Linked DNA regions of Saccharomyces cerevisiae S288C. The protein of the gene in region 2 interacts with the protein of the main gene of each other region in a biochemical or structural test. Each region holds a gene or a part of one and is shown on either strand. Other genes may lie near its edges.

What was found.
Region 1: the proteins of RAD51 (region 2) and RAD54 form a complex in vitro, tested with the Saccharomyces cerevisiae proteins (13 studies listed by BioGRID, with this or other methods).
Region 3: the proteins of RAD51 (region 2) and RAD52 form a complex in vitro, tested with the Saccharomyces cerevisiae proteins (14 studies listed by BioGRID, with this or other methods).

What each region holds. Positions count from the first base shown.
Region 1 is NC_001139.9:193,201-198,304, reverse strand, and holds RAD54 (DNA-dependent ATPase RAD54), read left to right. Parts: upstream 1-1,901; coding exon 1,902-4,598; downstream 4,599-5,104. Other genes in the region: SUT1 (Sut1p), read right to left, coding at 1-167; YRB30 (Yrb30p), read left to right, coding at 5,005-5,104. UniProt on the Saccharomyces cerevisiae protein: Plays an essential role in homologous recombination (HR) which is a major pathway for repairing DNA double-strand breaks (DSBs), single-stranded DNA (ssDNA) gaps, and stalled or collapsed replication forks.
Region 2 is NC_001137.3:348,451-351,754, forward strand, and holds RAD51 (recombinase RAD51), read left to right. Parts: upstream 1-1,529; coding exon 1,530-2,732; downstream 2,733-3,304. Other genes in the region: PUP3 (proteasome core particle subunit beta 3), read right to left, coding at 279-896; SHC1 (Shc1p), read left to right, coding at 3,248-3,304. UniProt on the Saccharomyces cerevisiae protein: Required both for recombination and for the repair of DNA damage caused by X-rays. Its function may be modulated by interaction with other repair proteins. RAD52 interacts directly with RAD51, via its C-terminus.
Region 3 is NC_001145.3:212,009-215,521, forward strand, and holds RAD52 (recombinase RAD52), read right to left. Parts: upstream 1,923-3,513; coding exon 507-1,922; downstream 1-506. Other genes in the region: SRC1 (Src1p), read left to right, coding at 1-147; NDC1 (Ndc1p), read left to right, coding at 2,181-3,513. UniProt on the Saccharomyces cerevisiae protein: Involved in DNA double-strand break (DSB) repair and recombination. Promotes the annealing of complementary single-stranded DNA and by stimulation of the RAD51 recombinase.

The sequences.
Region 1 (5,104 bases), on a different chromosome or scaffold from region 2:
GGAAAAGCCCGCTTCCTCGTCCAAGTGGTCGACAAGAGTTCTGGATCGGTGATGCCCACATTTTGGGTGCCTTTACGCCGTATATCTTTTTCTAGCAGGGAAACATTGGGGAGCAATAGCGGTGGTAGCGATCGATCTCTATTTCTTACTGTAATGCTTGTGGACATCTTCTTTTGACATACGATGACCTCAATGATTTAGATTATGTGTTGCACTTTTATAGACCTACCAAAAATCCAGTGCGTACACTAATACTTTCATAAAGATACCTGAAACAATAACCAGAAAGATCGGCAAAAAAATTTTTTTTCTTTGCCGAGATCACAAACCTACTATGACGAAAAAGCTTGAAGTTTAGATGAGTAAGGAAAATACAAGTGACGCTTTTATATGGTGCAAGGAACAAAAACTAAAAACAACAAGGCAAATGTGGATCTGTCATGTATGGCAACGACAGCAGGATGGCTCACAAAAAAAGACAAAAAAAACTAAGGCAAAAGAACAAAGCTCCTCTCCTGCTCAAGAAACGTATTGTTGAAAAACCACCGTCGTAAGAAAGTTTTTCTGTGACCTATAATGGTTTAAAATCGGCCCATTTTTTTTCCCTCTTTTGTGGTCCAGTCTTTCTCATACTCGAGGGAAATTCGACACAAACAGCGGAGAAGTGTGGCTAAACCGGCAAGTGCCTGCAAGATCCACAGAACTAACCGCACGAACTGGCGGTCAGAAAAGAGCCTGTTCCGGAAAGAGAGAAACAGAGAAACGATCATGATGGGAAAGCGGGGATTCGGCGAAGAACGAGACTGGAAAGGGAAAAAGAGAAATACTGGTGGAAGTATTCGGACCTTTGGCGAAGTCCGAACCCTTGAAACCCAAAGATGATCGATGATTCATTTTTCAATGCGCTACGGTTCCTGCCGCTCGTGGGAACCCCACGCAAAACATATTATTCGCTTCTCTCTGCTGACAACTCCGGTTTACGTTATACCGTATTAGGATCACTATAAGGGTTCCTTCGGGAGGAGGGGGGAGGGGAAGAATGTACATCGTCATAAGGCCTTTATGGTGTGAAGTGGGTTTTGCGTGGAAAATTCGTTTTCAATGATATAGAGCCCACGCATATACGTACATACTAGTGGCCAAAAGCGTGGGGTGGGCGGACAAAGCTACACTGGTAAAATACAGGATTCTATGAACAATAACAACAACCAGCTCACGTTGCTGAACAGCCGAGGTCAGCCGATGCAACCGAGGTTTCCAAAGTAGCATTTCTGTGCTAGCTATGTCTGTAGGTTTACATTTAATGGTGCGTGGTTCCAGCTTCATGTGCTTGCATGTGATGTCCTGCAGATGGTAAGAAGATTCTGAAAGCCGCGCTAGGAGAAAAATATTCTGCTCGAAGATCTGTCCTCTTAAGTAGAAAGCGTGAAATTGTTGCGTTCTTGCATTACTACTCAACGCGTACGCAAATGCGTCTACTGCACCTGCATGATAAAGCTTATGTATCAAAAATTTAACATCTTGAAAATACACAAGTGGTGCAAAGATGTGTCACGTTCTGGACCTGAGTGGTGCCATGTATGCTATTTAACATGCAAAGGGGAAGACCCTTCCGCCTTACTGCAATAATAAAAAGTATTTTACGCGTTACCCAATATAGCAAAGTTTCGCGCAAAAAAAAAAATAAAAAACAATTACAAACAAAAAGAAAAAAAAGGAAATAATAGAAGATCTAACTGAAGCGAAGGCCAAAACTCTTCTCACTTGACGTAATAGCCGATACAAAATCTAGAGCAGCAACTTTTCTCTTTCTTCACTAAAGCTGCTACGAAAGTATAGAAAAATCAAACGCTCAGAACTTAGCTCTATTTCAAGGTACCATATATATTTCCTTATAACTGATGGCAAGACGCAGATTACCAGACAGACCACCAAATGGAATAGGAGCCGGTGAACGGCCGAGACTGGTACCTAGGCCTATTAACGTACAAGACTCGGTGAACCGACTAACGAAACCGTTCAGGGTCCCGTACAAGAACACGCACATCCCGCCCGCTGCTGGTAGAATCGCCACCGGGTCTGATAATATCGTAGGAGGAAGGAGCTTGAGGAAAAGATCAGCGACTGTATGTTATTCCGGCTTGGATATAAATGCGGACGAAGCAGAGTACAACAGCCAAGACATAAGTTTTTCTCAGTTGACTAAACGACGGAAGGATGCTCTTAGTGCTCAAAGGTTGGCCAAGGATCCGACAAGACTGAGTCATATCCAGTACACTTTGAGAAGATCTTTCACTGTGCCAATCAAGGGATATGTACAAAGACACAGTCTGCCATTAACGTTAGGAATGAAAAAAAAAATTACTCCAGAACCTCGACCTCTACATGACCCTACAGACGAATTTGCCATAGTGCTTTATGACCCGTCCGTTGACGGTGAAATGATTGTCCATGACACATCTATGGATAACAAGGAAGAAGAATCAAAGAAAATGATCAAAAGCACACAGGAAAAGGATAATATTAACAAGGAAAAGAATAGCCAGGAAGAAAGACCCACACAAAGAATAGGACGCCATCCAGCTTTGATGACAAATGGTGTGAGAAACAAACCGTTACGTGAGCTACTCGGTGATTCGGAAAACTCTGCGGAAAACAAGAAGAAATTTGCTAGTGTCCCTGTGGTTATTGATCCAAAACTGGCCAAGATTTTAAGACCCCATCAAGTCGAAGGGGTGAGATTCTTATACCGTTGTGTCACAGGGCTTGTCATGAAAGATTACTTAGAAGCTGAGGCGTTCAACACTTCAAGCGAAGATCCCTTAAAGAGCGACGAGAAGGCACTTACTGAATCTCAAAAGACTGAACAAAACAATAGAGGGGCCTACGGCTGCATCATGGCCGATGAAATGGGGCTGGGTAAGACATTGCAGTGTATAGCACTTATGTGGACATTATTAAGACAGGGCCCGCAGGGTAAAAGACTTATCGACAAATGTATCATTGTTTGTCCATCTTCTTTAGTCAACAACTGGGCTAATGAATTGATAAAATGGTTGGGTCCCAATACTCTAACTCCGTTAGCGGTTGATGGGAAAAAATCTTCAATGGGTGGTGGTAATACAACAGTTTCGCAAGCTATTCATGCCTGGGCTCAGGCACAGGGAAGAAATATTGTTAAGCCCGTTTTAATCATATCGTATGAAACATTACGTCGAAATGTTGATCAATTGAAAAACTGCAATGTGGGTTTAATGCTGGCAGATGAAGGGCACCGTTTGAAAAACGGTGACTCTTTAACATTCACAGCTTTGGATAGCATCAGTTGTCCTAGAAGAGTTATATTATCTGGTACACCCATTCAAAACGATCTTTCCGAATATTTTGCTCTACTGAGTTTTTCGAATCCTGGCTTATTAGGTTCCAGAGCAGAATTTAGGAAAAATTTTGAGAATCCAATTTTGCGAGGGCGTGATGCTGATGCTACTGATAAAGAAATCACAAAGGGCGAGGCGCAATTACAGAAGCTATCTACCATTGTCTCCAAATTTATTATCCGTCGTACTAACGATATTTTGGCCAAATATTTGCCTTGCAAGTATGAGCACGTTATTTTCGTAAACTTGAAGCCGTTGCAGAACGAGCTCTACAATAAATTAATTAAGTCAAGAGAAGTGAAAAAAGTAGTAAAAGGTGTTGGTGGGTCTCAGCCCCTGAGGGCTATTGGTATTTTAAAGAAGCTATGTAATCACCCTAATCTCTTGAATTTTGAAGATGAATTTGACGATGAAGATGATTTGGAACTACCTGACGATTATAATATGCCGGGTTCAAAAGCCAGGGACGTACAAACAAAATATTCAGCTAAATTTTCCATTTTGGAAAGATTTCTCCATAAGATAAAGACCGAATCCGATGATAAGATTGTTTTGATCTCCAACTATACCCAAACCTTGGACCTCATTGAAAAAATGTGTAGATATAAGCACTACAGTGCTGTACGGTTGGATGGTACAATGTCAATTAACAAAAGACAAAAATTGGTGGATAGGTTCAACGATCCTGAAGGCCAAGAGTTCATCTTCCTCTTAAGTTCTAAAGCAGGTGGGTGTGGTATCAATTTGATTGGTGCAAATCGATTAATTTTGATGGATCCGGATTGGAATCCTGCTGCTGATCAACAAGCTTTGGCACGTGTTTGGAGAGACGGTCAAAAAAAGGATTGTTTCATTTACAGATTCATATCGACTGGTACCATAGAGGAAAAAATCTTTCAAAGACAATCTATGAAAATGAGTTTGAGTTCATGCGTGGTCGATGCGAAAGAAGACGTTGAAAGGTTGTTTAGTTCTGACAATTTAAGACAGTTGTTTCAAAAAAATGAGAATACGATATGTGAAACACACGAAACATACCATTGTAAACGTTGTAATGCTCAGGGTAAACAATTAAAGAGAGCCCCTGCAATGTTATATGGTGATGCGACAACTTGGAATCATTTGAACCATGACGCATTGGAAAAAACAAATGATCATCTACTAAAAAACGAGCATCATTACAATGATATCAGTTTTGCATTTCAATATATTTCACATTGATCTCTTACATACATGTACTTATAAAACAAAAACAAAAAGTAGAATTCGATCGTCGGGGGGTCATTACATATTTATTTTAAATGATGGGCATGGTTATATATATTTAGACGTAATAAACAATTGAAAATTGGGGCCAAATTGGTAAATATCTCTATGTATTTCAATCAAAAAAGTATAATCGTATAACTTAAGGGTAAAAAAAGTTGAGCGATGTCATATTATACTTGTGCTAGCTTTTAAATTTTTCATTATCTTCAGTTTTATCGTGGTAAAGTGCCAGCCGAAACTGCCAAAAAAGATTATGGCAAGAAAATCTCACGCTGTCAGGGAAATAAAAATCTGATACAGTTTCACACTCTCAGAAGGATTAACTTTAACTATTACCTAACACCAATATCTGAAGAGAATGGATGAAATTCTTGCCAAAGCAGGTTCACAAGCCGTTACATTTGCTATAAAATCCGGAATATCGATAGCATCCACATATGCGCTAAAGACAATAACGA
Region 2 (3,304 bases):
CGTCAAAGAATCAAGTTCCCCATCCTAATAAGTATTAAAAGCGCCAATTTTTCAAGAGACTCGCGGCTGGTGAATAACGCTGCTCCTTAGAAAAGGACAGCCAGCGGATAGCTACTCAGATCTTCGACTGACTTTATGCATTTTAGTATTTATATATTCATTCGATCTATTCTGTTTACTTAAAAATTAAAGATGAGTTGGATGTGGAAAATTCTTGACGTTCCGCTGATATTTTGTGTTGGGGTTGTTTTTGGGACCATGAGATTGCCATGAACCGATCAATCTTGTCTCATCTTCAAGTATCTCTTCACCACTTCATCCTTCTTGATGATGTATACTACAGCTCCCCAGCCTGATAGAGCGTCACGGTCAGCAGCATTCAGTAGGGCCTGACTTATAGTTTCGAAAAGATCTTCTGGCTCTAGATTAGGTTCGTACAGGGACTCACACATACCGAACAGTTGGTCGGATGCAGTACCGCTAACGATAAAATCCTTGGCCTCGTCGATACAGCCGATTAGGTCGAATCCCGCAATAAAGGGCTTCCCGGACTTGGAATTAATACCTGCTACCACCGGCCCCACAAAGTATGGACCGAATCTTCTTTCATAAAGTGAACTTGACACTAATTGGGTAAACGTTTCAGGCTCAATGGCCCTTTCTTCCTTCAACTTATATAGGTTCGTCTTGTAGCGGAACATCTCGTTCAGAGTAGTCACGTCGGTAGCCAGACCGGTAATCCCTAAGAACACATGCCCATAGTGGAAGATTTTTTCAAACTTGTTCGACACACCTAGTGACTGGCTTCCGAGACGCAAATCACAGGCAATGGCCACACAGTCTTTACCTGTCATCGCAACGACGATACCACCGTTAATAGAACTTGGATCCGACATTTTTTTTTTATGCTTTATTCACTGTTCAATATTTTCACCACAATTCGCAAGAAACGCACTCTACTTCGAAACTACGGTTCAAACTTACTTAGCAGCTTCCCGATTTAATTGGCCTTTCTACTATGCCATAAACTCTTTCTTCCTCTCTTTTCATCGCCCCTGCATTTGCACTTTTTTGCCACCGGCAGTGCCATCCGGTCACATGACTACACCACGTTAATAGCGATCTGGCTTATCATTGTCACAGAGTAAATTAAAATGGACGGTAAATGTTGGAAATGCACCACTACCGTTCTTCAACCAATCTAGTTTAGCTATCCTGCAACAGGTGGCCTTCTTGAGCATTCCCTGAGCATTCCAACCGGTTGTATCAGTGTTTTATCACCGTCTCACCATATCCCACGACTAGGCCACACTTCGTTACCCTATGCTACGCGTCATTTCCGCTATTTCTGTCCTGGTTTGTTTACAGTACGCGTGGTGGGACCATAAAGGGGAATAGTGGGGACTGGAGAAAAAATTTTCTCAGTTACTTCTTCTATCTTCCGTAGTTTCCATATACTAGTAGTTGAGTGTAGCGACAAAGAGCAGACGTAGTTATTTGTTAAAGGCCTACTAATTTGTTATCGTCATATGTCTCAAGTTCAAGAACAACATATATCAGAGTCACAGCTTCAGTACGGGAACGGTTCGTTGATGTCCACTGTACCAGCAGACCTTTCACAGTCAGTCGTTGATGGAAACGGCAACGGTAGCAGCGAAGATATTGAGGCCACCAACGGCTCCGGCGATGGTGGCGGATTGCAGGAGCAAGCGGAAGCGCAAGGTGAAATGGAGGATGAAGCATACGATGAAGCTGCCTTAGGTTCGTTTGTGCCAATAGAAAAACTGCAAGTGAACGGGATTACTATGGCGGATGTGAAAAAACTAAGGGAGAGTGGGCTTCACACTGCTGAAGCGGTAGCATATGCTCCCAGAAAGGATTTATTGGAAATCAAAGGTATATCGGAAGCTAAGGCAGATAAGTTGCTAAACGAAGCGGCAAGGCTAGTGCCTATGGGATTTGTCACGGCTGCTGATTTTCATATGAGAAGATCGGAGCTGATTTGTTTGACAACGGGTTCTAAGAATTTGGACACTCTTTTGGGTGGTGGTGTGGAAACTGGTTCTATTACTGAGCTTTTCGGTGAATTCAGGACAGGTAAGTCCCAGCTATGTCACACTTTGGCCGTGACATGCCAAATTCCATTGGATATTGGTGGCGGTGAAGGTAAGTGTTTGTATATCGATACCGAAGGTACTTTCAGGCCGGTAAGATTGGTATCCATAGCTCAGCGGTTCGGATTAGACCCGGATGATGCTTTGAACAACGTTGCGTATGCAAGAGCCTATAACGCCGATCATCAGTTAAGACTTCTGGATGCTGCTGCCCAAATGATGAGCGAGTCTCGGTTTTCCTTGATTGTGGTCGATTCTGTTATGGCTCTATACCGTACGGATTTTTCTGGTCGTGGTGAACTAAGCGCAAGGCAAATGCATTTAGCCAAATTTATGCGTGCTTTGCAAAGGCTGGCCGACCAATTTGGTGTTGCAGTCGTCGTTACTAACCAAGTGGTCGCCCAAGTTGATGGTGGTATGGCTTTTAATCCAGATCCAAAGAAGCCTATCGGTGGTAATATTATGGCACATTCTTCCACCACGCGATTAGGTTTCAAAAAGGGTAAGGGATGTCAAAGATTATGCAAAGTTGTTGACTCACCTTGCTTACCAGAGGCTGAATGTGTGTTCGCGATCTATGAAGATGGTGTTGGTGACCCCAGAGAAGAAGACGAGTAGGTATTTGGTCTCTTGTCTCTATTTATTTACACAGGTTTACTTTCAATTCTCCTCTTTTTCTTAGGTTGCGTTCCGTACATTTTTATCTTCATTTCCATCCACTGTCTTAGATTTTTGCATATATTTTGTCATATACCTCGCAACCCTACTGCGGTCTTAACCTTTTTTTTCAGTTCTTTTAAATAACTTTCGTATTGTCTGTCACCCATGAAATATATGTATTTTTCTACTCTTCTTCCCGATGACTACTTCCTCCTGCAGGGTCCGCGCGGCTTTATCCTTTTAGGGGAGTGAAGAGAAAAATTTTCTGATATGTCGCCATCCTCTTATAAAACCAACGTAAAATACCATACACTTCTTTATGGCAATGAATTTCCTTGTCTTCGTTTCGACGTTTTTAAATTGAATAAAAAATTGTACTTGGAAAAAAGAATAGAACAATACTTTTGCTAACAGCAAGAGAAGTACGGTTGACATTACGAGTATCCCTTTGTTAAAATCAGGCAGTACCCATAATGTCCATGACTATTTGCTCAAATACTCCTGGTGCATACCCTGAAATTGGAGCTTAT
Region 3 (3,513 bases), on a different chromosome or scaffold from region 2:
TCAGAAGTGGTAAAATATTTAGAGCATAATAACAGTAATATTAAATCGAACTTAACTGAAATTCGAGGTGAAATAATGAAATGTTGGGAATGGATAGGTCCGATGGAACTCAATGAACCTAAGGATTCCGCTGAAAACAAAATATAACCCACAAAATGAAACTCAAACGTAGTTTTCTCTTCTCAAACTTAATGATCTATTGTTTTTCCGAGTTGCCATATTTGTATAGTTTATTCTATTTATACGGTTATCCTAATATCTGTTATATAATTCTTTATGTAATACTTTTGTAAAGTTATAATGAATCTAATCCTGAAAATGACTTGTAAAATAATAAGAATTTTTTATTCGATTTAAAGTAAATATTAATACGACACATGGAGGAAAGAAAAACTAGACGATATAGGAAGAAATACAAATAAAATCAGAATTGAAAGAGTAACTAGAGGATTTTGGAGTAATAAATAATGATGCAAATTTTTTATTTGTTTCGGCCAGGAAGCGTTTCAAGTAGGCTTGCGTGCATGCAGGGGATTGATCTTTGGTCTTCCAACTTCTCTTCGTGTCGATCTTTGTTGCGGAACGGCTGGCACTGCACCATTTCCATTAGGATGTACTACCTTAGAAGGCGGCGCAAACCGTGGAGCAGCTGCAGGCGGAAAAGCTGTAGCGTTCGTTTTAATTGGTGTGGTTTCACGCGGTACTTGATTCCCAGCCCCTTCTAGCATATGAGGCCCCAGTTCTTTATCATTGTTCTTCATGCTCAATTGTTTTCCCTTTGGTGCAAATTTTTCATAGACAGAATCCCTCGCGGTGGTCATCGTTTTGTCTTTTAGCACACTCGCTGGAATATGCTTGGACGTAGTCTGATCAACGGTGTGCCTAATGGATTGTGCCTGGTATTTGGGATCAAAAATGCTCTCTTCACCAATATAACGTTCATTTTGTACGGAAGTTGCAGCCTTAGCTGTAACAAAGGTGATTTGTTCTGCCTCTGGGTTTGAGCTAGCAGTTGGGCTTTGCTTAGCTACAACGGGATCCTTCTCTGTCGTTAAAACATTACTGTTTGTGTTGCCCATATTTATCAAGTCGTCGTCTTGAAAATCATCGCTAAACATAAGAGAATCATCGAGAAGGTCATCTTGATCCTGTTTGGAAGCATCGAGAGATTTGAGATCAGTATCTTTATTACTGCTGTTTTTACTGTTAGCCTCAGCAGGTGCGGCCATCATTGGGGTACCTCGACTTACTGTATTTTCTATTTTCACCAGGTTCTTCGTCGAGTCGGGATTGGTATTTGTAACTTTAGTCAATTGCCTTCTTTTATTCGGGTATTGTTGTTGTTCTTGATTTTCATGCAAAGTATTCGTTCTTGAGCTTTCGCTGATTTCATCCGTTGGCCTAAACAAATTGTTTTCGTCAAAATCTGGCGGATCGAACTTCACCTTATCGATCTTTGCCAGAAAATCTTTATCGTAAAGACAATTTCCTAGAGCATTACCAAACCCTCTCAAAGATCTTTTCAAGGCATCCGTAACGGCAGATTTCTTGGCCCTTTCGAAAGCGGCAGGTTTCCGTCTTTCGTTCTCCACGGTACCATACCCAATATCTTCCCTATAAGTCCCGCTAGTCAACGTAACACGAACAATTGCAGTACACCCTATGCTAAACTTTCCCTGTCGCTCATCCAAAAAATCGATAACTACACTTTTTACCTCCGTAGACCAGCCATTATATCCAAAGATTTGATTAGCAAGATTAATTACTCTCCAACCTTCGATGTATGCAATCCTGCTTGTTCCAAACCCAACTCTCTTGGAGATATACTCAGGTCCTAATTTCTTGTCCAATTTGGTCTGTATGTCCTCGGAATGGTTACCGAAAACGGGCTTCTTCTCATCCATATCCATAATTTCATTCATCAACAACACACCAAAGCCACCAGAACCTTCAGCAGTTCTTGGCAACCTCCTTGTTTGCATTTGTTGATTCTCAGTGGCAAAATAGCTTAAAAACGCCATTCGATACCGGTCGCGTAACCCGCCCGCCGCTATATTTTTCGTCTTTTCTTAACAGACTAAAGAATATAATAACATCGAGAATCACTAACGGGAAGAGCAGACTCTTTGGCGATGAGTAAGTGTGATTGAGAAGACGAAAGGACATTACAGGGCAAGCAGATGATACAGACGCCAAGGGAGTTGTTGAATCCACGGTACACGTACCATACCATCTTTAGCGACGTGTGCAAGACCCGATTCAACCATTTAGTTACGAGGTTGTTTTTCATATGTTCTATTATCCAAACTGTGGTGATTTCACTGCTGGCGTTGCCACACTCACCGTTATGGGAACTGGCATTGGCATTTATTCCCAATATTTTAGCTCTTAACCTAGTTTCCCTTTTGATCATTGTGACAAGAAAAAATTACATGCATGTAAAGAATTTTGGGTTCGCTAATTCACTTACTTTCATTCTAGGCCAATTGTTATCAGTAAAGTTTCTTGTATACCAGGGAGTCTATAGCATGGGCAGCATCCTTTTATCATTCGTACTGGGTGTGGTTTTCGGACGTGGCGGATCTGGATGGAAGCCATACTATAAGCTGTTTATTTGGCTAGTCGTTCCCACGATTTACAACCTACAACATCATGTCACTGACGCTGACAAATTGTCGTTCAACTGCGAAAACTTTTTCCAGGCCCCACAAGACTACGTATTAGAGCGTGTCAAGAGGATTATGGAGAAGTCAGTCATTCTAAGTGTAATCAGCATGTTCGTATTACCAATCTTTACCACAGTATTTTTTTCCAGGCAAAAATCGGGATTATTTGATTCATTTACGAATGGCGTGCTAGCTGTCACAAATTTACTAATAATCTCCTGCATTATCTTCATCACTTTCGAATTCATAAATATAGCATTTGACGCACATATGTCCATAGGTTGTCTGCACAAGGGCAAGCTAATTTCGAATTTGTCGTCGACGCCGATGGAAACCCTGCTTAGTGGGCTTTCTGCAGACAAGCCATTTACTAGGTTGACTGCCTACCAGGAACTAGCGTATAGGGCCACTTCACTGGATCCATCATTGCGAGCACCAATATATCACTCCAAGTTCAGAAGCAGTAGTGGTAATACTTGGTCATTAATCCTCAATGAATGCTTGAAGACCATTCAGATAAACAATGAAAAGGTTGTGCAGTACCTAAGATCAGTACAAGATCTTGGGGGCTCTGCAACTGCTAGACATAAAAAAAAAGTAGAAAATCTAGATTATATGTATGAGAACGGGAAACTAACAAGCGCCAACGAAAGACTCTTTGGGAACCGACCCTCTATGATGGCGCCATTACGGGATAACGGCTTATTAGATGAATCACCAAACAGGCTGAGGGTAAGAACTGACGATAGTGTATTGCTTAACCGCGGAAACAAGAAAAGGCATAGGTCCTCGTATTACGACAACGATTTAGATGAAACGACACAAACTTTTAACGGCTCTATTTTCA